Arabidopsis thaliana: one gene and its partners. The protein of the gene in region 2 purifies or fractionates together with the protein of the main gene of each other region. This does not show direct contact. Each region holds a gene or a part of one and is shown on either strand. Other genes may lie near its edges.

What was found.
Region 1: the proteins of AT4G30820 (region 2) and AT4G17020 purify together in Arabidopsis thaliana (affinity purification with mass spectrometry, with the first as the bait; one large-scale study listed by BioGRID). This does not show direct contact.
Region 3: the proteins of AT4G30820 (region 2) and AT1G55750 purify together in Arabidopsis thaliana (affinity purification with mass spectrometry, with the first as the bait; one large-scale study listed by BioGRID). This does not show direct contact.
Region 4: the proteins of AT4G30820 (region 2) and AT1G20480 purify together in Arabidopsis thaliana (affinity purification with mass spectrometry, with the first as the bait; one large-scale study listed by BioGRID). This does not show direct contact.

Annotation. Positions count from the first base shown.
Region 1 is NC_003075.7:9,577,352-9,583,353, reverse strand, and holds AT4G17020 (transcription factor-like protein), read left to right. Parts: upstream 1-1,914; 5' UTR 1,915-2,271; coding exon 2,272-2,384; intron 2,385-2,454; coding exon 2,455-2,622; intron 2,623-2,877; coding exon 2,878-2,946; intron 2,947-3,040; coding exon 3,041-3,134; intron 3,135-3,253; coding exon 3,254-3,354; intron 3,355-3,435; coding exon 3,436-3,481; intron 3,482-3,555; coding exon 3,556-3,615; intron 3,616-3,694; coding exon 3,695-3,763; intron 3,764-3,875; coding exon 3,876-3,959; intron 3,960-4,081; coding exon 4,082-4,165; intron 4,166-4,261; coding exon 4,262-4,347; intron 4,348-4,437; coding exon 4,438-4,528; intron 4,529-4,681; coding exon 4,682-4,762; intron 4,763-4,900; coding exon 4,901-4,975; intron 4,976-5,064; coding exon 5,065-5,198; coding exon of another isoform or gene 5,199-5,202; exon of another isoform or gene 5,203-5,287; coding exon 5,288-5,381; coding exon of another isoform or gene 5,382-5,415; 3' UTR 5,416-5,479; downstream 5,480-6,002. Other genes in the region: EXLB1 (expansin-like B1), read left to right, coding at 173-305, 652-761, 893-1,204, 1,340-1,537; AT4G17010 (transcription factor IIIB), read right to left, coding at 5,727-5,981. UniProt on the Arabidopsis thaliana protein: Component of the general transcription and DNA repair factor IIH (TFIIH) core complex, which is involved in general and transcription-coupled nucleotide excision repair (NER) of damaged DNA and, when complexed to CAK, in RNA transcription by RNA polymerase II.
Region 2 is NC_003075.7:15,004,650-15,009,144, forward strand, and holds AT4G30820 (cyclin-dependent kinase-activating kinase assembly factor-related / CDK-activating kinase assembly factor-like protein), read left to right. Parts: upstream 1-1,844; 5' UTR 1,845-1,908; exon of another isoform or gene 1,909-1,998; 5' UTR 1,999-2,053; exon of another isoform or gene 2,054-2,457; 5' UTR 2,458-2,494; coding exon of another isoform or gene 2,495-2,537; coding exon 2,538-2,562; exon of another isoform or gene 2,563-2,844; coding exon of another isoform or gene 2,845-2,867; exon of another isoform or gene 2,868-2,952; coding exon 2,953-3,209; intron 3,210-3,350; coding exon 3,351-3,416; intron 3,417-3,504; coding exon 3,505-3,729; 3' UTR 3,730-3,975; downstream 3,976-4,495. Other genes in the region: scpl29 (serine carboxypeptidase-like 29), read left to right, coding at 38-123, 214-477, 552-685, 785-880, 988-1,093, 1,180-1,368.
Region 3 is NC_003070.9:20,839,876-20,847,771, forward strand, and holds AT1G55750 (BSD domain (BTF2-like transcription factors, Synapse-associated proteins and DOS2-like proteins)), read right to left. Parts: upstream 6,025-7,896; 5' UTR 5,990-6,024; intron 5,721-5,989; 5' UTR 5,261-5,720; coding exon 5,180-5,260; intron 5,094-5,179; coding exon 5,015-5,093; intron 4,886-5,014; coding exon 4,824-4,885; intron 4,717-4,823; coding exon 4,653-4,716; intron 4,554-4,652; coding exon 4,439-4,553; intron 4,345-4,438; coding exon 4,269-4,344; intron 4,190-4,268; coding exon 4,094-4,189; intron 3,878-4,093; coding exon 3,833-3,877; intron 3,485-3,832; coding exon 3,428-3,484; intron 3,329-3,427; coding exon 3,173-3,328; intron 3,076-3,172; coding exon 3,010-3,075; intron 2,509-3,009; coding exon 2,385-2,508; intron 2,236-2,384; coding exon 2,179-2,235; intron 2,095-2,178; coding exon 1,967-2,094; intron 1,883-1,966; coding exon 1,709-1,882; intron 1,615-1,708; coding exon 1,501-1,614; coding exon of another isoform or gene 1,447-1,500; exon of another isoform or gene 1,387-1,446; coding exon 1,309-1,386; coding exon of another isoform or gene 1,246-1,308; exon of another isoform or gene 1,148-1,245; and 7 more. Other genes in the region: AT1G55755 (uncharacterized protein), read left to right, coding at 6,240-6,291, 7,258-7,393, 7,644-7,701; AT1G55760 (BTB/POZ domain-containing protein), read right to left, coding at 7,242-7,844. UniProt on the Arabidopsis thaliana protein: Component of the general transcription and DNA repair factor IIH (TFIIH) core complex, which is involved in general and transcription-coupled nucleotide excision repair (NER) of damaged DNA and, when complexed to CAK, in RNA transcription by RNA polymerase II.
Region 4 is NC_003070.9:7,094,310-7,099,055, reverse strand, and holds AT1G20480 (AMP-dependent synthetase and ligase family protein), read left to right. Parts: upstream 1-1,908; 5' UTR 1,909-1,982; coding exon 1,983-3,249; intron 3,250-3,343; coding exon 3,344-3,489; intron 3,490-3,592; coding exon 3,593-3,660; intron 3,661-3,766; coding exon 3,767-3,869; intron 3,870-3,964; coding exon 3,965-4,078; 3' UTR 4,079-4,223; downstream 4,224-4,746. Other genes in the region: AT1G20490 (AMP-dependent synthetase and ligase family protein), read left to right, coding at 1-611, 983-1,098; AT1G20470 (SAUR-like auxin-responsive protein family), read right to left, coding at 4,291-4,731. UniProt on the Arabidopsis thaliana protein: Carboxylate--CoA ligase that may use 4-coumarate as substrate.

The DNA of each region.
Region 1 (6,002 bases), 5.4 Mb from region 2:
TATAATTGTAATAAGCACTCTAGCTGCAGCTATAAATACCCTACTAAGTCTCTCATCTATCTTCACTATCTTTTGTGATAAGAAATTCTATTATCAATTCCTATCATTTGTTAAGAAAAAGAGTTAGAAGTATTAATAATCTTACAATATTTATAGATAAGATAACAACAATATGAAGCATTCTCACGTTTTGCTTCTTCTATTTGTTCAAGTCATTGTCCTTTTGCCTCTCCTTTGTCTATCCGACGATTTTGTTAACTCTAGAGCTACTTATTATGGCAGCCCCGATTGCAAAGCAAATCCTCGTACGTATTAAAATTGTTATTGCTATATACATCGTGTACCTTAATTCTTTTTCATTTTCTTAGTTGTTGTATAGACTTGTACACGTTATATATTGGTAAAAGATACATTGGTGTAATATCTCACTATAAGCCATAACTAATTATTTTTGTTTTATATCTACGTATAGGTTTCTTGTTTTGTTTTATTTTGAAGGTTTATTCAAATTCTAAATACATATATGATTGAAAACGAGTCCACTAAGTGTCCATTAACTGCGTAATTAGTAATGATAACTTTCCATTATGAGAATATACATAATATTTGTCGAAAGAATAAGAATAATTAATTAATTTTTTGATGATGCAGGGGGACATTGTGGGTATGGAGAATTTGGAAGAGATATCAATAACGGTGAAGTGAGTGGTGTTTCATGGCGACTATGGAACAATGGAACTGGCTGTGGTGCTTGTTACCAGGTTATTATATATAGTTATCTACTTATCTCAATCAATATTTCATCAAATATTATTATAGTATATGCTATGTCATTAATTACTAAACTTATATTATGAAAGAAAAAAAAACTTATTTTATGAATTATAAAAAGGTGAGGTGCAAGATACCACCACACTGCAGTGAGGAAGGAGTATACGTAGTGGCTACGGACTCCGGAGAAGGAGATGGCACGGACTTCATCTTAAGCCCTAAGGCGTACGGACGTATGGCGCGACCCGGCACAGAAAATCAGCTCTACTCCTTCGGTGTAGTCAACGTTGAGTACCAAAGGATCCCTTGCCGATACGCAGGGTATAATCTGGTGTATAAGATCCATGAGAAAAGCTACAATCCTCATTATCTTGCCATCCTTGTCTTGTACGTTGGTGGTGTTAATGACATCCTCGCCGTTGAAGTCTGGCAGGTAAATTTAATCAAAGATGTTGAGAAACTTAGATATATGTTTTTGAGGATCAAAATATATAGTTTACTCTTAGATGATTTTGTGAAACAAAGTTAAACGTTATTATATGGTATGCATGTATATGTATGATTTTAGGAGGATTGCAAAGAGTGGAGACGTATGAGAAGAGTGTTTGGAGCGGTTCATGATTTGCAGAATCCACCTAGAGGCACTCTCACATTGAGGTTCTTAGTCTACGGAAGCGCAGGAATCAATTGGATCCAATCGCCAAACGCTATTCCCGCTGATTGGACTGCCGGAGCCACCTACGACTCCAACATTCTACTTACTTAATTGATTCACTTTTCATCAGTGTGTTTTTATCATATAGTATTTATTATGGTTTCTGTATGCAATGGCTAATATATTTAAATAATGCCCTCTAGGACAATATAATTAATGATGATAATATAAATAATCGTAGTAGATTCATATATAATTTATGTATTGTGTCTCACTAAGAAGATTGTAATGGTTTGTATGAGTTTGATTTTGATGGAATAAATCAGTACTAATCAATTTATCAGATGATGATCAAACGTTTCGTAAGCTTTTTTTGTTTACATTTTGGTCAGTCAAGCATATATCTCTCCCTAATCAACCATTTTCATGAAAACAAATTGGCGCGATTTTTGTTATATAGATAGGCCCATTAGTAGTATTCACAAGGCCCATTAAAACTTAATTTATCTTGGCCATCCTCTTCGATCGATTTCGTCAGTTTTCTTTGATTCTGGGTAGTAAATAATCGGGATCAATTGTAGAAGAGCTCATCGAGAAAAGAGAGAACCTAAACTTTAAATTCAATTCTGTATTGTTCTCAAACTCGAACCCGAAACTTTAAATCCTTCCTTATTTGTTTTCTGGAGTTCTTGTTTAGAACTGTTTTGGATTTGTTTTTTTTGAGGAGATGCTTTAGTTAACTAGGTTTGCTTCGAGCTGATCGCTGTGTGGCATAAACCCTAATTTCGTGGAAACTGTGCTCTTTTAGAACCGGTCCAGTGAGTAAGGGAATCCAATTGGTGAAGATGCCGCAAGTTAAGATCATTGCTAAAAATTTCATGGACATGGTGGCGTCACTTCCAGCCATCAAGCTTGACAAACTCTACAACAATGTCTTTATCTGCGAAGCCATTCTCAGGTTAATTTATGTGTCTATGTTGTTGAATTTTGAAAAAATTGAGGATCTTACATTCTTAAGATGGTGTCAGGTCTTTGCCGCCTCTTGCCAAGAAGTATGTATTGCAGATGTTGTACATTGATGTTCCTGTACCTGCTACGATGATGGAGGAGTGGGTGCTCGCAGATGGCACCTCTAAACATAGAGTTGCTATTGATCGACTGATTCAATTAAGGATTTTTTCAGAAATTAGTGATAGGTATGCATTCTTGCTTTATTCTTGATACTGTCATGATTTGACTTATTTCAGTTAGTTCAATACTTCTGTCTATTCACGTTGGAGGGTTTATTTGATATATTTATTTAAAAGAGTGATGGTGGATGTTAACTTGAGCATTGAACCCTATGAGCTTCATCTTATACTTCAATTTACTGTGTTTGGATTGATTATGATTGTATGTGGCAAGATGATAGTTCAGATTTAGTTCTTAAGCTGCTCTTCGTACTTTTGCAGGAAAAGGGGAACCAGCTACAGCCTAAATCCTACATTTCAGAACAATCTTCAGAAACATATTATTTCCGGGTAAAGACATCTTTACATTGACGGTACTCTCCTTTTTCGTTTTTTCTCTAGGCTTTTGGAGAAGATGCTGATGAGCTAAATTTGAATTTTGCAGTGGAGTTTTGCCTAGAGAGCCTATGAACTCCGACAATGCCATTAAACTTCCAAGCCTACAAGAACTCGAAACCTATGCACTTAAGCAATGGGAGGTGTGTGTATTTCCTAATTTCTTATTGATAATACTAGTAAGGTGGAAGTAATTTGTAAAACAAATATCTTTTAATATGAACTTGGTTAGTATCTGATGATGTGTACTTATGTTTGTCAGTGTTTCTTGCTACAACTTATAAATTCGGGTCAAGGTGAAAAACTAACTGGCATCAGTTCATCCATGATGAAAATTTTTCAGCGAGGTTTATTGAGTCAGAGGTAATGTTTTCATACACGTCTATAGATGCATAGTGGTGGCATATAGCCTCCCTATTTGATACACTTCATGTAATATTGCAGAGACAAAGATGGCCCGAGATTAACTGAGAGTGGCTTTCAGTTTTTGGTATGCAAATCGTGAGTCAGTGGTCTATAATTACCTGTATTCATGTAAGTAACCTGATTGACCTCAATTTTCAGCTGATGGATACAAATGCCCAGCTTTGGTACATTATTCGAGAATACATATTGAATGCCGAGGTTTGTATTATTCCTAAGGTTTTGTGAAATTGATATCTCTATTTCGCCGAATGGATAACCCAATGCCAGTGTTTCTCAGGAGCGAGATGTAGATCCAGCAGACTTGATTTCGTTTTTGTTGGAGCTTAGTTTTCATGTTACTGGTCAGGTATAACAGAACTTCACAAAAAAGTCATTTCAAGCGTTCTTGTTCTTGTTTTTACTCTTACTTGATTTAGCGGGATGCTTGTTAATTATTTCGGTGAGCTTACACATTGCAGGCATATAACTTAAATACCTTGACAGAGGTTCAAAACAATACCCTCAAGGACCTTGCAGACTTGGGATTAGTCAAGCTTCAACAGGTTAGACTTAGACCATTTGTAATATTTTTTTTATTACCAAATATCAAAAGAAAAAAAACTTTGCTAAAGTTATGATTATAGAACTATATCACATGCTGAGCCAGTCTTTATGATTATTGAAGGGAAGGAAAGACAGTTGGTTTATTCCTACTAAACTGGCTACAAATTTATCAGTCAGTCTGGCAGATTCATCAGCGCGAAAAGAGGTCACACCTTTTTTATTCCCCTCTTGTCCCATATCTACCTGCTACCAACAATTTTCTTGATTTTGTGTATCGCTGTTGTTTGTTGTTCCTCATCAGGGATTTGTCGTGATGGAAACAAACTTCAGAATGTATGCGTACTCCACATCTAAGTTACAGTGTGAAATTTTACGACTATTTGCGAGGTAGAAGCTCCTGAACATCGACCTGAAACTTTACTCTTCTGTGTCTTAAAATCCTTTAGGTCTAAGTAGTTGGTGCTTCATTATTTCCAGGATAGAGTACCAACTTCCAAACCTTATTGCTTGTGCCATTACAAAGGAAAGTTTGTACAATGCATTTGACAATGGCATCACATCAGATCAGGTACAGTTGGTTTCAGTTGAAAAACATTTTGAAGTTATCGAATACATGATTTTGCCCGGATCCTCACTGTCCTTGAAATGTTGATCAAATTGTTGATGCGTCTCTTTATAGTTTCTGAATAAATATTTTTTCCTTTTCTTTTGATTGTCACAGATTATAACTTTCCTCCAGCAGAATTCTCATCCACGATGTGCTGATCGAGTCCCATCTATTCCAGAAAATGTCACTGATCAGGTTTATACTCTCTATGCCCATCAAGTGTCGATTATACAAAAATGTGTATAGGATTGGTTTATAGAATTGAAAGTGTATACTATCTCTACGTCCTGATTCATCAGGCTTATGTTGAATAAAAATGCATTGTTCTGGCAGATTCGGCTTTGGGAGACAGATCTGCAGAGAATTGAGATGACCCAGGCTCACTTCTATGATGAATTTCCTTCAAAAGTAACAAACCTGAACCCTCTTATTATTTTCTCTTCTCCATAACGCAAAACCGTTATAGTAAATCTCATTAACCAAAATCATGTTAGCAGGATGTGTTTGAGGCAGCTTGTGACTTTGCTCGGGAATGGAGAGGCCTTCTTTGGGAAGACTCTAAGAGAATGCGACTTGTTGTGAAATCCGAAGTTCACAATCAGATGCGTGAGTTTCTTCATACCCAAAGCAGGTAACAAGAAGAAACTCACATTTTCTTCTCGTATTAAAACAAAACATCATGCTTCGATTCTACAAACTATGTCTTTCGTGAGGTTTCAGCAGAAAGAGAAAAAAGAGTAGCCATTTGATGTCTTGTTACTCTATTAGTTACCATCGTTTTTATCCTGCTAACACATGCGCACCCCAAACGTAGGAAAAGTACTTGGTGTTGGTACCCACGAAGTTGAAAGTTGAAACCTTTAAGCTGTAAGACCGATCCATTGTAAATCACAATATACTTTATTAGGCGAAGTTAAGTTTGAAACAACATATATTGACAAAACGTGGTCGTTGGGGATGGTCCAACCAGGGTCACCTCTATAATTTCTTGTACGCTAGACAGAACACAATCTCGGTTTTGATTCTATTCAGTTGACCAAATTTCAAAATTATTAAAACCTCAGCAAATGCGAGGCTACAATCTCAGTTTAATCAACTAAGAGGATGTATTCAGAGACGCTGAATCTATTCTGTGTCAACATGAAGACAAGATCTGACTTCATTTTGCTTGAGATTTTTCGTTGGCTGAGGACTCTGAATCCTGGATCTTATCTCCCATGTTTGCATCTGTAGTCACATTTGCATTTCCACGTGCCCGAGCGAGTTTCTCAGCTTCTTCAATCTTTCGTATAGCTTCCTGTTGTGTTGCGTTCATCATTGTCCCCATCGTTTTCTTCTCTCCTTCGAGCTGAATTTCCATTATGGTACTAGCATGCTTGTCTATCGGTTTGAAGTAGTCTTCAATTTGAGCCTCCTGTATTGGTAAAAGACCCAA
Region 2 (4,495 bases):
CCATAAATACTCATGTGTTTCTTCTGGTTTGTTTTAGGACATTACATTCCTCAGCTGAGTGAAGCCATTGTAAAACATAACCAAGGTTCTGACAAAAACAGTATAAATCTGAAGGGTTACATGGTGAGCCTGTCCTCTTATTGATCCCCCTATGATTCATTTTCTAAAAGGTTATAAAACTCTAAAACAATGTTGATGAATGTGTGGATGCAGGTAGGAAATGGGCTGATGGACGATTTCCATGACAGGCTTGGTCTTTTCCAATATATTTGGTCGTTGGGTTTTATATCTGACCAAACATACAGCTTACTGCAACTTCAATGCGGTTTCGAATCGTTTATTCACTCCTCCAAACAGTGTAACAAGATTCTGGAGATAGCGGACAAAGAAATAGGTAACATAGACCAATACAGTGTCTTCACCCCAGCTTGTGTTGCCAATGCTTCCCAGTCAAATATGTTGCTAAAGAAAAGACCTGTAAGTGGCCTTAAAACTTCTCTTTTCAATGTTACACTCTTTAGTGTCCTAATTTCTCTGTTTATTTTACTTAGATGACTAGCCGCGTGAGCGAACAGTATGATCCTTGTACGGAGAAACACACTACAGTTTATTTCAATCTTCCAGAGGTTCAAAAAGCCCTCCATGTCCCACCAGGACTTGCACCATCAAAATGGGATACTTGCAGGTAAAATTGCCTTGCAATATCTTAGAAACTTGGTTTTGGAGGAAATGAGCCTATTTAAGTATTGTAACAATTCTGATCCCGACAGCTTTGGTTATGCAGTGATGTCGTGAGTGAACACTGGAATGACTCTCCTTCCTCGGTTCTAAACATTTACCACGAGCTTATAGCTGCTGGGCTTCGTATCTGGGTTTTCAGGTCTCTTTCTCTAAATATATCCACTGAAAGCACTTTAACGATATCTTTTCTTCAAGTGTTTTGGCGTTTTGGTGGTAAAAAGAAAAGGTTTTGTTCTTTGGTAACAGTGGGGACGCAGATGCCGTTGTACCAGTCACATCAACCCGGTACAGTATCGATGCACTAAACCTTCGTCCTTTGAGTGCCTATGGTCCTTGGTACTTAGATGGACAGGTACAAAACAAAACTCAAGATGAGAAAATGAGAATCCTTTTCTTATGTTATAAGAAAAACTTATAAACAGTCATGATTTGAAACAGGTGGGAGGGTGGAGTCAGCAGTATGCTGGTCTGAACTTTGTGACAGTGAGAGGTGCAGGCCATGAAGTTCCTTTGCACAGACCGAAGCAAGCTCTTGCGCTCTTCAAGGCTTTTATATCTGGAACTCCATTGTCCACACATGAGAACAGCATCAGCCGCGACATGTCTGAACTCGTTAGTGACTCATAATGAGTTCTGATTTGATGTAATGTGTGATTTGGATTCTCAATCAAAAACTTTCCACATAGGCCGTTGAAATAAGAAGAGGGAAAGAGAATAAATCAGTGTTTTAAGTGATACGTTCAATGCTTCTTCTTCTTCTGGTTGTTTGTTTGTTTGGATAAACATTTGCTGCTTGGAATCTAATAAAAGAAGTTTCTACCATTTGTCAGCCATACGATCCTTGAATAACAACAACATATTCTTGTGTAATGAGAAAGTGAAGTCTGATCTGTGATGTATAGGACTGGGTATTAATCTGGTAACGGATATAATACTGGGGTAGAAAATAGAATTTAGACTAGTATTGGGGGTCTAAACGAAATTATACAGAAGCATTGGGCTTGACTTGGCCCATGAGACCTAAGCCCATATTTTAAAGAATTAGGGGTTTCTTCTTCCTTTGTCTGTTCAAATTGAAGAAACCTGTTTTTTTTTTTTTTTTTCTGGAAGTGAATTGTCTTGAGTTGAACATTGAACTTCAATTGGTCGGAATCTGCAATTTCTGAGGTAAAGGTTTCATTTTTAACCTTTATTTGTTTGGGTTAAGATGAGATCTACGACGTTTTGAATGAGGATTCGGACGGTTGGGTGTTTCAGGTTTGGGCTCAGTGTCTTCTCTCGCGCGTCCCTCTTCACCTTCTTATTTCTACCTGTGAGTCTCACTTTTCTTCTCTCCGGTCTTTAGCATTCTATTGAATAGAAGAATTGGCATATAGCTATTAGCTATTTTCCTCAGATCGTGTTTTAGGCGACTTTCTGTTCTCGCTTGCTTAACATTGTACTTCAGTGTCGAATTCATATCCTACACATGAGTCTACATAAACATTGTGCTTTATGCTTGCTTCCTTAGTTCCTCAGAAATCCTTGGAAAATCCGCAGATTTATCTTCTTCGCTATCTGGAATTGTTTTCTTCGTAGGTTTCTTCTCGTTCATGTGTTTTTCCCTATTGGGATAATGGTTTTCAGCTCTAAAGATTCTATAGCCGAAAGTAAAAATAAGACTTGTGTAATATTTGCTGCAGCTTTATTTGCGAAATCACGTCTAAAACCTTGTAGGTAGAGGAAAGGACAAGAATCCCAGGCAGAAGCAACCATGGTGATGGTGTCTAATTCTACCCATCAAAATAAGGAAATACATGTCAGAAGGAGAATCTCTGAGATGTATTCTTCGTTCTGATCTTTTTCTCTCGTTGCATATCATGCTTGCCTGTGCAAATGGTGTGATATTTAAACCCCTTGATCAATCTACTGCGTATTGATCAGTATAGACTCTTAGCATGTATAGCGCTAAATTTCACATCTGATCATTTTTATAGAAAATACTTTGTTCACTGCATACACTTAATGAAGCAATTCTCCCATCTATGGACCCAGTGAGATGCTCCATTGTTTCCTAGCATACCTTAGCATAAAATGGAGATCTTTAGTCACAGTTTCTAACAGATGAGATATAGATTTATATTAAGGTATCAATTTTTTCATTCTGTAGAAGCAGAGTATTTTCAGCCTCTTGAGTATCATGTTTTTTTTTCTTTCTTTCTGGTGATGCAGATACAATAGACGGGAAGAGGAGTTTCCATCACTTAAAGACTACAATGACTACTTGGAAGAAGTGGAGTGCATGGGTTAGTTTCACTTGTGCTCCTTATTTTCTCTATTCATGCAAGACAAGACCAATGTATATATTACCTTCTATTCCACCAGTATTCGACTTGATAGATGGAATCAATGTCGAGGCGATTGAGCAGAAGATTAAGAGATATTCTAAGGAGAATGCTGAACAGATAATGATTAATAGAGCTCGTAAGGTAGGGCCTACGTTAGCCTTACTTTTTCTTATCTTGGTTAGATGAATGAGTAGAGGAAAAGAAAGAAGATTAAAAGCATGTTTGGTTATATGATATCACTGTGCAAATTGCTTTTGGTGTATTTACAATTTGCTCCAACAGGCAGAAGAATTGACTGCAGCCTTGGCAGCTTGCAAGGCCAAACCCCCACAGACAGATGCTGACACGGTAAATTGGGTTTTAATTTTCATATCAACAAGCAGATGAAGTTTCCTGACGAAGCTGAAATCTCTTTACTTGTTTACGCATTTTGTAGTCGTCGAACCATGGGGTCACGGCTGGAACTACATATGGTCAGGCTTCACGACCAACGGGAATGGGCCCACAACCTGTACCTATAGTAGGTGGAGCAGAGCGTCAACATTACGCTATGGAAGACGAAGCGACGAGGAGGATGAAAGCAGAGAGAGCTGGAGGATTTTCTTTAGAGATAAGCAAGAGGAGGGCTTTGGAAGAAGCATTTGCAAGCATTTGGGTTTGATTTCTCAAGCGATATTAGTTTTGTCCCTTATGATAGTGACTAGGAGGTCTTGATAGCTTCCATTGTTGTCTCAGTTTACTGTCTTTTACTCTTGTGGCTGGTTTGTTTTGTATAGTTGACAAGACTCTATTACGGGCATCAAGGAAAACAAAATTTACGAAAGAAAAATCGCAAAAAATACATGTACTTGTTCAATTGTAGAGAGACGGAAACAGATGGTAGAACAGAAGCAAAAAATAAGGAGGATGGACATAGTTATTGAATTTAAAGGGATTTTGATGTCCATATCAAAGACATAGTTTCATCTTTAGCAGTTACACCGTTCCCAGTTGCCATAACATTTTCCTCTGTTTCCATACCCATCAGTATATCAAGAAATGATTCGGCACCGTCTAAACAAGACATAGAACAAAAATTCAACTTAGGAAACTTGAGGTATATGTAACCTCGGCAACACAGGCCACATAATTTGCAAATTAATCGACTCTGGCTACTGTTACGAACAACTTCCCCTTTTAGGTCATCGCAACTGAATGTGGAACCACACTTTATGTAAGCAGAGGAGTCAAAACACGCATAGATGGTGGATAGTGGTGCAACATATGTTGCAAGTGTAGAACCATGTTGTCGTATCTATTTTTTCTTCACATATTTCGCACCAGTAGATTTCATCTGTGCTAGTGCTATCTTCATAGCAAAGAGAGAGAGGATGCTCATCATATTTCCAGCATAACTGATATGGGATGGTTGCACATTTATAACACAT
Region 3 (7,896 bases), on a different chromosome or scaffold from region 2:
AATTTTGTATGTCATGTCAATATGACAAGCAATGAGTAACTTTATCTGTTTTTATTTTTTTCCTCACAATGAGTAAATTAATCATTCAAATCAAAAGTTATCCATGAATGCTATGTCAAAAAAAGTTTTATGTTGAATTTTATATATTTCTAATTTGGATTGTTGTTTGATGCGATTCAAACATTGAAATCTACTACGCCATCGAAGCATTTTCTCTATTATTGTCCCATTATTATAAATATTCACCAGTAACCAAATAACCAAACAATTATGGCACTGAGAGCTTTCTTGGAGCTGTAGTAACGTCCTCAAAGCCTGTAGAGAATTTACTAATACATTGCAAACTTAAAAATGTTCAGATCGAGAAAATCTCTTTGTTGTCTCTCGCAGTTAACAATATAACGCCTAATTAACAAAAAAAAGAAAAGAAAATATTACTACAATATAAACGCATTTTTGTATCTCAATGGTCGGACAAAAAGGGACAAATGAAGATTTTCAAAAACACCAACCAAGGCTGATGAAACAATTCAAAGATCTTGCAAAGCTTTTTAGTTTTAGTTTTTTTGTCCTCTATACGTAGCCGTTTGGTCTTTCGCCGCTCTTAGCTGTTCTTCTCTGCAGATCCACTTCGTAGTGATGGAACGCAGCGTCAAGAGCCTAGCAGAGAAAACCGATTAAGATCAATTTTCAAACCGGATTACAATGCAAGGCTGTAGAAACTGGATATAGATGCAATATGAGTGGAAAATATAGACTTAACCGAGACATGATGTAATAAAAGTATAAAACTCTTCCGTAGATATTGGAAGAAGCTAACCTGTTGCATTGGACGAACCAGTAGAGAAACCTGATGCCGGAGATCAGATTGCACCGACTCTTTCATTGCCTGAGTTACATGGAGTTTAATATCAAGGAAACCGTACAGTTGACCATATATATGCAAATAAGATTCGACTACAATACTGCATCAATTTTATTTACCCAAAAATTTCATTTTCGTAAACGCATTGGTATGATTAGGAACTACTGTTTTAACATAGCAGATTTACTATCAGTTGCTTATTCTGTCAGAAAGATGAAGAATTTCAAAGCTTACCTCAAGTTTTGAATATGTATTGGACATTGCATCCTTCAGTTTACCAACCTGCATGATAATAATATAACATCACAAGAATCGACGAAAAATATTTGGTATAATAACTTGCTCTTGGTGTATAATAAGATTAAATTTCCCGTGAAAGCCTAGGAATCAATATATATAGCAATTTCTGGGACTGGGAGATTTGAAAATTGCAATAACATTACCTTGGTATGAAGATATGTGGTTGTTATCGGATAAGATGACCAAAAATGTTTCAGTAATTCTTGTATTGATGTCCAATGCTGTAGATGAAAGAAGAAAAGTCCTCTTATCCATATGCATTACTACCTAATCTTCACTAACTAGTACATATAGAGCTTCTTGTCACTTAGGACACTGGAAAATGTCGGACTTACGTGTAGAACTTCATCCTTAGTGGACTTTGGTAATCTGTCCAGAAAGCTCTCTCGTGGGTTCTTCCCATTAATATTTTTAGCAGTTGCAATGGTTCGGGTTAACGAACTGAAAACCTGAATAGGGTTAGCAATTTTTAGCTCAGGCAACAAAGCAATAAGTAATGATTTCTTTTGTCAGCACACTTTTTATTATGTGACAGAATAGCACCTCGAAAGAAACTTCAGGCTTAATCAACGGATCACTTAATCCTGTAGCTCTAATCTCTAAAATGGATTCCTTTAGTAATCCATAAGCTTCATGGACATTTCTCTTCAAGCCCTTTGCTCCTCTGGGTACATTGAGGACGTTTCCTTGTTGAGATTCAAAGTAATCACGAGGATCCTGATTCCAAAGAAGAAAGGGTAAGCGGATTAACGCAGCATCCATCATCAATTGTGAAAACCTTATATTGGCAGAAAGCCAAACCTTGATAGAAAGCGGCGCCAATGGGAAATTTTGTGGTGCTTGAAGATCCTCCATTCCTGCTACCCGGGACATTCTTTCCAATCTCTCCTGATTAGCGTCCTTGGTGGTTTCACCATCAGCTTTGCTTACTAACAGGGGTGTAAAATAGAGATGGATAGCAAGGTCAGATGAATAAAAAGCGTGGCATTGTTTAGCAGAATGAAACATCATACCTTGTTTAACCCGTGTGAGAGCCTCTGCAACAATCCTTGTATCTTCTGACTCAACATCTGCTTTCCAATTACAGGAATATTATTGTATATTTACCACCAAGAACTAAAGTCAAAAGGCCAACATAAATGTTTACACTTCCTGAACTATCTACTGTTATAAAATATTCAGATAAAAAGATTCAAATGAGGTTCTTAGAGGTGTTTACCAATGCTTCTGCCTTCCAATACAACAGCAGCATGACGATTAAGATCTTGCAAAAGTGATCGTTTAAACTGATCATTTTGTGGTTCAACAACATCCATGGTGCCATCACGCTGGATCCCGTGGTCCTGTGTTATGGGAAAGTTATATTAAGTACGATAAAGTGTATTGAAAATAACGTTTCAACCGCATACAAAGAGCACAATGTCAATGTTAAGATTAATATTTTCTAGATATCAGTTTTGAGCTCCTTCTCACACATGCTAATATTAAAGTAGTGGTCTTGTGAAAAAGCAAAAGCACTAATTCAGAGTTATTTGAAAGAAACTAAATTCCTGATTTAACAATTCAAATTAGGTTCGCTGAGAATTCTAGAAGAAAGAAACAAGTGACACACATTGGTACAGGTTTGATTCTTAACACCGTTAGTATTATCCCAGTTCTTCCCATACTATTTCTACTAGGGATAGACAATACGTAAACATCAACACTACAAACCTCGATGAAAGACTTATTCTATGTGTGAATCTGTACAGTGTTAACTGAGCATTGAACTTTCCTTTCAACAACCATTGTTGCGCAATTTGGAAATTATCCAAACCTTTCACATGCAGTGGTAGTTGACTTACCATAAGATGAGTGTAGTCGTCTCCCTGGTCAGCCTCCATGTCAAGAGTTGGATCAACCCGTCTAATCTACAGAGATGACATTTAAATCAGATGGATATGCCACAAATATTTTCTTTTCAAACAAAATATATGATAAATGATTAAACCATAGAAGAAACCTAACCTTGTGACGAGTTTCCCGAGCCAATATCTCATCAGGCTTCAGAAAGACAGCGAGTTCCTCGTCCTCAGCAGCTTCTGCTGCAGCTACTGCTGTATTTTTGGTGCTGTAAAGATATTCTGCTCTAAAATATTTTGTCCAGAAGTCTTTTTCTGTCATCTGGCGTAGGAAAATAACTACCAAAGCCAGTTAAGATTCGTCGTATTTGAGGGTTAACCTTATAAACAAAGATGGTCACAGTGAGCTGGTCTTTGTTACCTTACTCGGAACATAATTGATGAATGCCTGCCGAACAGCTGGCTTCTCAGCAAAAATCTGAAAGCGTAATGAAGAAAACATAAGTAAGAAAAGGACTGTAGCAGTTACGAAAGTAACATTTAAGTTACTTGCAATGGATTTACTGGCTAAGCAAGCACAAGATAGAATGTGGGTGAAAGACTGTTAAAAAAGTTTATATTCCTCATTTGTAGTTTCAGATTGGACTAGAAGTTCAAGCACATGATGCAACCTGAACACCTAACAATGGATTTCTGACCCAATATATCACTAGCTGCAACTTCAACCCCATAACATATAAAAAACTTATGATGACGACCTTGGAGGGATTCAGAAACTGATAGAGCAGTTACACTAATGACAAACATAGTGAACCAAAGAGCTCACCTGAAAAATTATCTCAGGTGTCAAGTTAAACGTCACTCTATTAGTCTGAAAGAAGAAAAATGAAGAAAGTGGTTAGTAAACCAGCAGAGATGTCACATGATAATATGATATATATCAACATATGAATGTAATTCAGTCGAACACATCAGTGTATGGTCATATAGATGCATTGTTTCTTTCCTACAAAAGCAGGCACATGAAAATGCTAACTAAATTGGCTGTACTAACTGCCAGAAAGGAGTTGAGATAACTATACCATACCCGCCCATCAGTAGATGGTTTGATGCCAGAAACCATCATGCTCTTAAGCCCGAGCTGCTGTTTTGACTTTCTGATGGAATCTTTACCAAGTAATTTCTGCAGCCAGAATAAAGTCGGTAACTATGAAGACATTGAAGAGAACAAAATTTTTAAAAAAATCAAACAAAGAACCAACCTTTCTTGTAGCCCAGAATTCATCTTCAGTCAGTACTTTACTTTCCACAAATTGCTTATGCAATCTCTGCAGCTCACTTTAAATCACGTATGTTACTCATATTAGAAGGAACTTGATGAGCCAATGAAACTTTGAACCCAAAAAGGCAACTTAATGTTCCAATTACATACCTATTTTCTCTCAGAAGCTTGAAGCGCAGCTCCAATTCCTTAATACTGAGTTGCTCGGAAGATGTCGAGACAACGGATTTATTAGGCTCCAATTCACATTTAGCAAGGGCCTTAGCTGTTTATAGTAAAAAAGAGGTTACAGAAACACCACGAAAGAAAACAAGAGAAATACTTTCCCAATCAATAAAAGCAAACCAAGGGACATGGAGGTTACTGATGAAATCACGGCAAGCATGCATGTCGGGATAATTTTCAAACTCAAAGATATGACTCTTTGCCTACAATCAAGGATGAGGAAACCTCAATGAACACAGAGATATAGCTTCAAAATTCACATATCTATAATGTATCATAGCTTTAATCAAAAAATGTCAACAGAAAAAACCTGCTTGTTGGTGAGATTGAGCCAAGGAGGTTTATTTGATCCTTCTTTGGTATATTTTTGACCTGAGAGATTGAACAAACACAGTGAAATTTGATAATGACTATGCAGCTATCATCATAACTGAAATCGTTTATCAACACAACATCTATTATCCAATAAGCAATGTTAATGAGAAAAGGTACAAACAATACTTTTGATGTTCTGAGTAAGTACTTTGAGCTTAGAATCTGATTTGGGATCATTAGGGACGAAGAGCAACATCCCTTCTCTCTGCAAATTTTTCGATTTTGCAAAAGAAACAGTTAAGCTGAGAGATAATATAACTCAAATAAGAGCGAAAAGTGTAATCTTCATACAATTCTGAGAAATCCAGGAGTTCCTGGATCCTTGACAGTGCTCTTGTATTTGACTAGCTTCTCTATTTGCCCACCAGCCATATCCAACTGTAGAAACGGTGGTTCTCTGTTTTCCAGTCGATCAATTCATCGGAAATCAAGCGAAATTGGAATCTAGGTTTATACTATAGAACGGGAATAAGTATCCGACCCGAATCATGACCCAACTTACTGACCCGAATTAAACTGCTACGGCCCATTATGATTGGTCATGTGATAAAATGAACAAAAAGTCAAAACTAATTAGGGGCATCAAAATGTAAGATTCATCCTTATGTCGATTTTCATCTGATCAAAGACCGGTGTGTAGATATCCGACCAAGCTTTCTTGAGAGGAGAGTACCGGTTCGGTGGAACGGCTACTTCTCTAAACTGAACTTTCCCATCAGACATTTCATGAGCCTTCAAAGTTCAATGGCTTAACCGTCATAGGCTCGGTTTCAGTTGCGGATTGAATAGACTCTGCCATGGACTTTAACACCTTCAATGACTAAATTCAAACCTGTAAAATAGCATACAACACCTTAAATTATGATAGTCTCACGACTATAATCAATATGTACCAAATTCTGTAATCTCTAGTATAAATCAATAATGAGGATAGACACAGAAAAGAAGAAAAGATACATATTTGTGCATTTATCAACTAAATTGACATCGACAAAAAAAGACCACAAACCAGATAAAGCTTCAAACGATAGATTTTTTTTGAAAGCTCTATAGAATTGAAGCTGATTACTGTACAGAAGAAGAAAAGAGTAGCTGGCTTACTAGAGGATGTCGACGGCTGAAGAAGAAGAAGGTAGACGTAGAAAGAGTTTTGAGTTCGAAATTTGGGAGGTTTTTTTGATTAGGGATCTATTTATTACAGAATGAAACGACGTCTTTAATATTTTGGGCCACTAATAAGGCCCATTATTGACGTAGTTCGTTTGCCGGGAAAAAATAATTGAAAAAAAATCTTCATTTTCCAGCATCTTATGAAGAACAATATTCCCTCTCTTCAAAATTGGAGGAAGAGATGAAGCGAATCTCAGATTCGAAGATGAAGAAGGCGATGGTGGTGGTGATAGGTAGCTGTCGAAGGTAAGTTTCTTCTGCAAGGAAATTCCATTTTGTTGTTTTCGTCGTTTTCATTTTGCGATTCTATTAGACCCATATCGGTTTACTTGTCTGATTCTTCTTTTTCACTTTGATTTTTCCTACGCATGAACACCATCCATTCCATATATCAGATTCGTGCGACATTCTAGTTTCTGATTATTTGGCAGTCACAGAGATTTCCTGATTCGAGTTCGTTTCTATGTAATTTCCTCTTAGTTTTCCGGCATTGTGGCGGATCTCAGAGGTCTTAGAGTCTGATTTTGTTTCCATTGAAGACGATCTGAAATCGCTTATGTAGCTATTGATTCAGTTTCAGGGAGTTGTTTTCTGATTTTTTTTTTTCCGGAGATTTGGTTTCTGTAAACCATGTAGTACTCACATTGGTATGTAGCACAGATTCTAGTCTTAGAGTAGAAGAATGTATATATTCCTCTGTTTTGAATTTTTCATATTAGCTAAGAAACTAGTTGGTTGATTCTCTGAAACTACTGAACCATTCCTGTTGAATTTGCTTGTAGCATGATATGTTTTAACATCTGTCACCATTACAATAAACTAGGGAAGATTACAGATCATGGGAGGATATGTATGTTTAGCTTTTTAGCTTGGTATAACTTTAGTATCATGAATCGGGTAAAATTGCTAAAAGATGATTGTAGATTTTACTTTAAAAGTTCAGAAAACTATATTAGTGTTATAGATTAACAATTCAAAGTTCAAGCTAAGAAGCTCACATTCAATCAAATCATGAATTTACATGTTGCTGTCTTATCCTTGTAAGGACAATACTTGGGTTTTGAGTTAAAACCCCCAATACTTTAATCTGTACATAAAGACCAACAAATCCTTTTGCACAAAAAATCAGTGTCCATAAATGTATTTTGTATAATTATAGCACACATACCCTTTCTGATTTCCCCTAAAATCCTTTCCAGGTACTGAGGACTTCGTGGAAGATTTCAGAAATCAAATCTCTGTCTGCGCATTGCATGAATATGTTGAACTCGTCTCGGATCTCAAATATTTTGCCAAACTTCACAAGATATCTCATGCAGCTAGCCTTCAGTTCAGGTAATTGATAGAGATAAGCATTCTGTAGCCTCTCAAGCACATTCTTTGTGTCGATATCGTCTAGAAGACTCAAGTGGCACGCCTCTTTTAAATCAGCAATATCATATTTCTCAGCTGCTTGGAGGAGTGCCAATCTGTGTATAAGAAAGTCTTCGTTTTGGATATTGCCGTAGATATAACTGAGAAAAGCTTGGCAAGCATCAAGTGGCATGTCGAGTACGTTTATTTCTGATAGTTCTTTCTCTTTCAGGTCGTGTAAAAACATGCTGCGGAAAACAGGTGAACGGGCAGCGAGAACTGCTCGGTGAGCTCCAATGCTTCCATCAGAGGCATTGATCGTTATGTCGGTGTAAATGCTTTCTGTCAACATACGTCCAAGGGATGTTACCGCAGTTACTTGCGATTGATTCTCAGTTGAACCGTTGGCCCAGATAGAGTAAAGTTCTCCACTCTGCCGAATTCAGGTAATTTATCAGTTCAGCACACATGTTTCACCAAACATA
Region 4 (4,746 bases), on a different chromosome or scaffold from region 2:
CTCGTCGGGAACCACAGGGACGAGCAAAGGAGTGATCTCGTCTCACCGGAATTTAACAGCTTACGTTGCGAAATACATCGACGATAAATGGAAACGAGACGAGATATTCGTATGTACCGTGCCGATGTTCCACTCCTTCGGGTTATTGGCGTTCGCAATGGGCTCCGTAGCATCGGGTTCAACGGTGGTGATTCTCCGGAGATTCGGGCTCGACGATATGATGCAAGCGGTGGAGAAGTACAAAGCCACGATTCTGAGTTTGGCTCCACCGGTTTTGGTAGCTATGATTAACGGTGCAGATCAGCTCAAGGCCAAGTACGATTTGACCTCCCTGAGAAAGGTTAGGTGTGGTGGAGCACCGTTGAGCAAGGAGGTTATGGATAGCTTCCTAGAGAAATATCCAACGGTTAATATTTTTCAAGGATATGCGTTGACTGAGTCGCACGGTTCAGGAGCTTCGACGGAATCTGTGGAGGAGAGTCTGAAATACGGTGCGGTTGGGTTGTTGTCGTCCGGTATTGAAGCGAGGATTGTGGATCCGGATACGGGTCGGGTCATGGGTGTGAACCAACCCGGTGAGCTCTGGCTCAAGGGTCCTTCTATTTCTAAAGGTAAACAAACACTAATAAACGCTAAATATTTGGCAATAATTAGATTATTTGAAATAGACATTTTATTATTGGGAAATTATTTATAAAACAAATATTATGATCAAGTTTTTAAGCAGTAAAATGGGTTTTGGATTTGGTGTGAGTAATTGAGTTTTGTATACATCGATATGATTAGTATTCGTAACGTGGACACCCTAACCGAAGAATGGCTTCAGTTCATTTGCAAATTAAATGAAACTTATTTAAGTGAACTCAATACTATTGAATAACAAAAGAAACACTCTTAAATCTGTCTTGGGACAAAACGAAAACAATTTTTTGCATGGCAAAGACATAGTTTTGAATTAAACTAACATTTATATGCTTTAAAGGTTATTTCGGAAATGAAGAAGCTACAAATGAAACTATTAATCTAGAAGGATGGCTAAAACTGGAGATCTCTGCTATATCGATGAAGATGGGTTTCTATTTGTTGTGGATCGACTGAAAGAATTGATCAAATACAAAGGCTATCAGGTTCATCATCGTTATGTTTACTAATAGTGTAAATTTTCTTAAAAATGAAAATCTAATGGTTAATATATGATAAGCAGGTGCCTCCAGCTGAACTAGAGGCTCTTTTGATCGCTCATCCACACATTCTTGATGCTGCTGTTATTCCGTAAAATATTTAACAACTAAAACACCATGATTTTTGCCATTCAAATATCGAAAAACATGTAGTTTGTTTCTTTTGTGCATTGTACAGGTTTCCGGATAGAGAAGCCGGACAATATCCGATGGCTTATGTAGCCCGAAAGCCCGAGAGCAATCTCTCCGAAAAAGAAGTTATTGACTTCATCTCTAATCAGGTACTTCTATAATCACAAAACGTACAACATCTTCTTTATCATATATTGTTTTACTTAAAAGTTAAACTATTTTTGGGTGGTAAATAATTTGATGAGCAGGTGGCACCGTATAAGAAAATAAGAAAGGTTGCATTCATAAGTTCCATACCAAAGACTGCATCCGGCAAAACACTTCGCAAAGATCTAATCAAACTATCAACTTCCAAACTTTGAAAGGATAAATTTGCTAGACTTTCTTAATTTTATTGATGGTATTGTTTTTCAATAAGAGAGAAAACTGTAAATCTGTAATCATTGTATATATTTTTCTGTATACATATGTATAGTGTTGAATAATTTCCAAGGACAGATATAATTAGTTTGCATTAGGCCCAAAGGCGTAATGGATCAAAGACTCAAAGTATAGTGGGCTTTTTTATAATATAGTCCACGTCATAAAACTTAAATCAGAAACGACGTAATTACCAATCTCTAACGACCAATCACCGAGAGGCTTTCGATACAACCAAAGTCCTTTAACATGGCGGTTAAGCACGGCGTCGACGGCGACGGCAGCGAAATCGAATCGAGAACTCTGGCGGTAGATCGAAAAAGCGGTTTCTGCGAATCAACATCGATATTCTACAGCAAACGTGAGCCAATGGCTCTCCCGCCAAACCAATTTCTCGACGTCACGTCTTTCATTGCATCACAGCCTCATCGCGGCAAAACCGTATTCGTCGACGCCGTAACCGGTCGTCGACTAAGCTTCCCTGAGCTCTGGCTCGGTGTCGAAAGAGTCGCGGGTTGTCTTTACGCATTAGGTGTACGCAAAGGAAATGTCGTCATTATACTCTCTCCAAACTCAATCCTCTTCCCGATCGTCTCCCTCTCCGTAATGTCACTCGGCGCAATCATAACCACCGCTAATCCGATCAACACGTCCGACGAAATCTCCAAACAGATAGGCGATTCGCGTCCTGTTCTCGCCTTCACCACATGCAAACTCGTCTCCAAACTCGCCGCCGCGTCGAATTTTAATCTCCCGGTGGTTCTCATGGACGACTACCACGTTCCTTCGCAAAGTTACGGTGACCGCGTGAAACTAGTCGGGAGGTTAGAGACGATGATTGAAACAGAACCGAGTGAGTCACGAGTTAAGCAACGAGTCAACCAGGACGACACGGCGGCTCTGTTATACTCATCAGGTACGACGGGGACGAGTAAAGGAGTAATGCTGAGTCACCGTAACCTAATCGCATTGGTACAAGCATACCGGGCCCGGTTCGGTTTAGAGCAGCGAACCATTTGCACAATCCCAATGTGTCACATCTTCGGATTCGGTGGTTTCGCGACGGGGCTAATCGCGTTAGGATGGACAATCGTTGTTCTTCCTAAATTCGACATGGCTAAGCTTCTCTCGGCGGTGGAGACTCATCGTTCTTCGTACCTTTCTCTTGTACCGCCGATTGTAGTAGCTATGGTTAACGGAGCAAATGAGATTAATTCCAAGTATGATCTGAGCTCGTTGCACACTGTGGTGGCTGGAGGAGCTCCGTTGAGTAGAGAGGTGACGGAGAAGTTCGTTGAGAATTATCCCAAGGTTAAGATCCTACAAGGGTATGGTTTGACTGAGTCAACGGCTATAGCTGCTTCTATGTTTAATAAAGAGGAGACTAAGAGGTATGGAGCTTCTGGCTTACTGGCTCCGAATGTGGAAGGTAAGATTGTGGATCCGGATACGGGTCGGGTTTTGGGTGTGAATCAAACGGGTGAGCTGTGGATTCGAAGTCCTACTGTGATGAAAGGTGTTTGATTCTTGATCTTTAGTTCATATGCCTGTGAAATATGTTTTTTTTTTTTGTTATTGGTGTTGTCTCAAACTTGTTGAGTTGTTTATAGGTTATTTCAAGAATAAAGAAGCTACTGCTTCTACCATTGATTCAGAAGGATGGTTGAAAACTGGAGATTTGTGTTACATTGACGGTGATGGGTTTGTCTTTGTTGTTGATAGATTAAAGGAGCTCATCAAATGCAATGGTTATCAGGTAAATAAATAAAATGTAACCAATCAACTTTAGTTGATCTTTCTTAATGCATGGATCATCTGAGTAAAGTTGGGGGTTTTGGTAATGGTGAAATGTTTGTTAGGTTGCTCCAGCTGAACTAGAGGCATTGTTGCTTGCTCATCCAGAGATTGCTGATGCAGCAGTAATACCGTAAGTCTTGCTTTTAACATTGACCCATCAAGCAAATTCTTCTCTTTAACGATCCTTTTTGCTAATTGCTGAAGCTTTTACTTTTCTTTCTTATGGTTTTTTGAAGCATCCCTGACATGAAAGCTGGGCAATATCCAATGGCATATATCGTAAGAAAAGTTGGAAGTAACTTATCCGAGAGCGAAATCATGGGATTTGTCGCAAAACAGGTTTTTTTTAACAATGCAGTTCATGTTTTCTGACTAATATGACAGTGGTTCATTAGGTATTTAGGTTTAACCGGAATTCTGGTTGGGTTACATAGGTATCACCGTACAAGAAGATTCGCAAAGTCACATTTTTGGCTTCAATCCCCAAAAATCCTTCGGGCAAGATTTTAAGAAGAGAACTTACAAAGCTCACAACTTCAAAACTCTAGCAGGAGGCTCTGTCACCATCCTTATCTCGCACTTCACGGTATGTTAACCCGTTTGTTTGGTTTAAATGTTAAGTTACTTCTTCCACATATATCTCTGTCAAAAATGAATAATGATATACAAACTGAAGGTTTATAGAGAATCTCTGTTTCTATTTATATACAAACAGAAAAGATTTTTGTGTATAAAAAGCGCTCTCCACAACCATAAACTGTTAAAAAACTAGAGACTGGAGCTTGCTCTGATCATGGGCTGCGTTGCAACGAAAGAGAGGGAAGAAATATGAAACCGATGAAGCTCCCTTGCACGACGTGCTCATGGGGGACACATCCTGGTTCATCGTCTTCTTCACACCATCATCACCACCATCATCATCATGGTCAGACAAACTCTTGTTCCTCAACAACATGAGGATGTGATCCATCAAACCTCCGTCGCAAGGAACCTGTAAAGGGCCACAAATAGTGGAGCCAAACTCTTCCTCTGCCATCTCCAATAAGACCTGAAAGATTGGATGTTTGAGATAATCCAAGGGTAAAACAAACCTCCTGCCTTCTCTGGTATACACAGCGAAGTGTCCTTTCTTACACTTCCTCCACTTCTCCATCAAATCGGTGAGTCTAAGCCTCGAGCAAGATCTTTTCTTCAGAGACATATAGAGAGCTTTGAT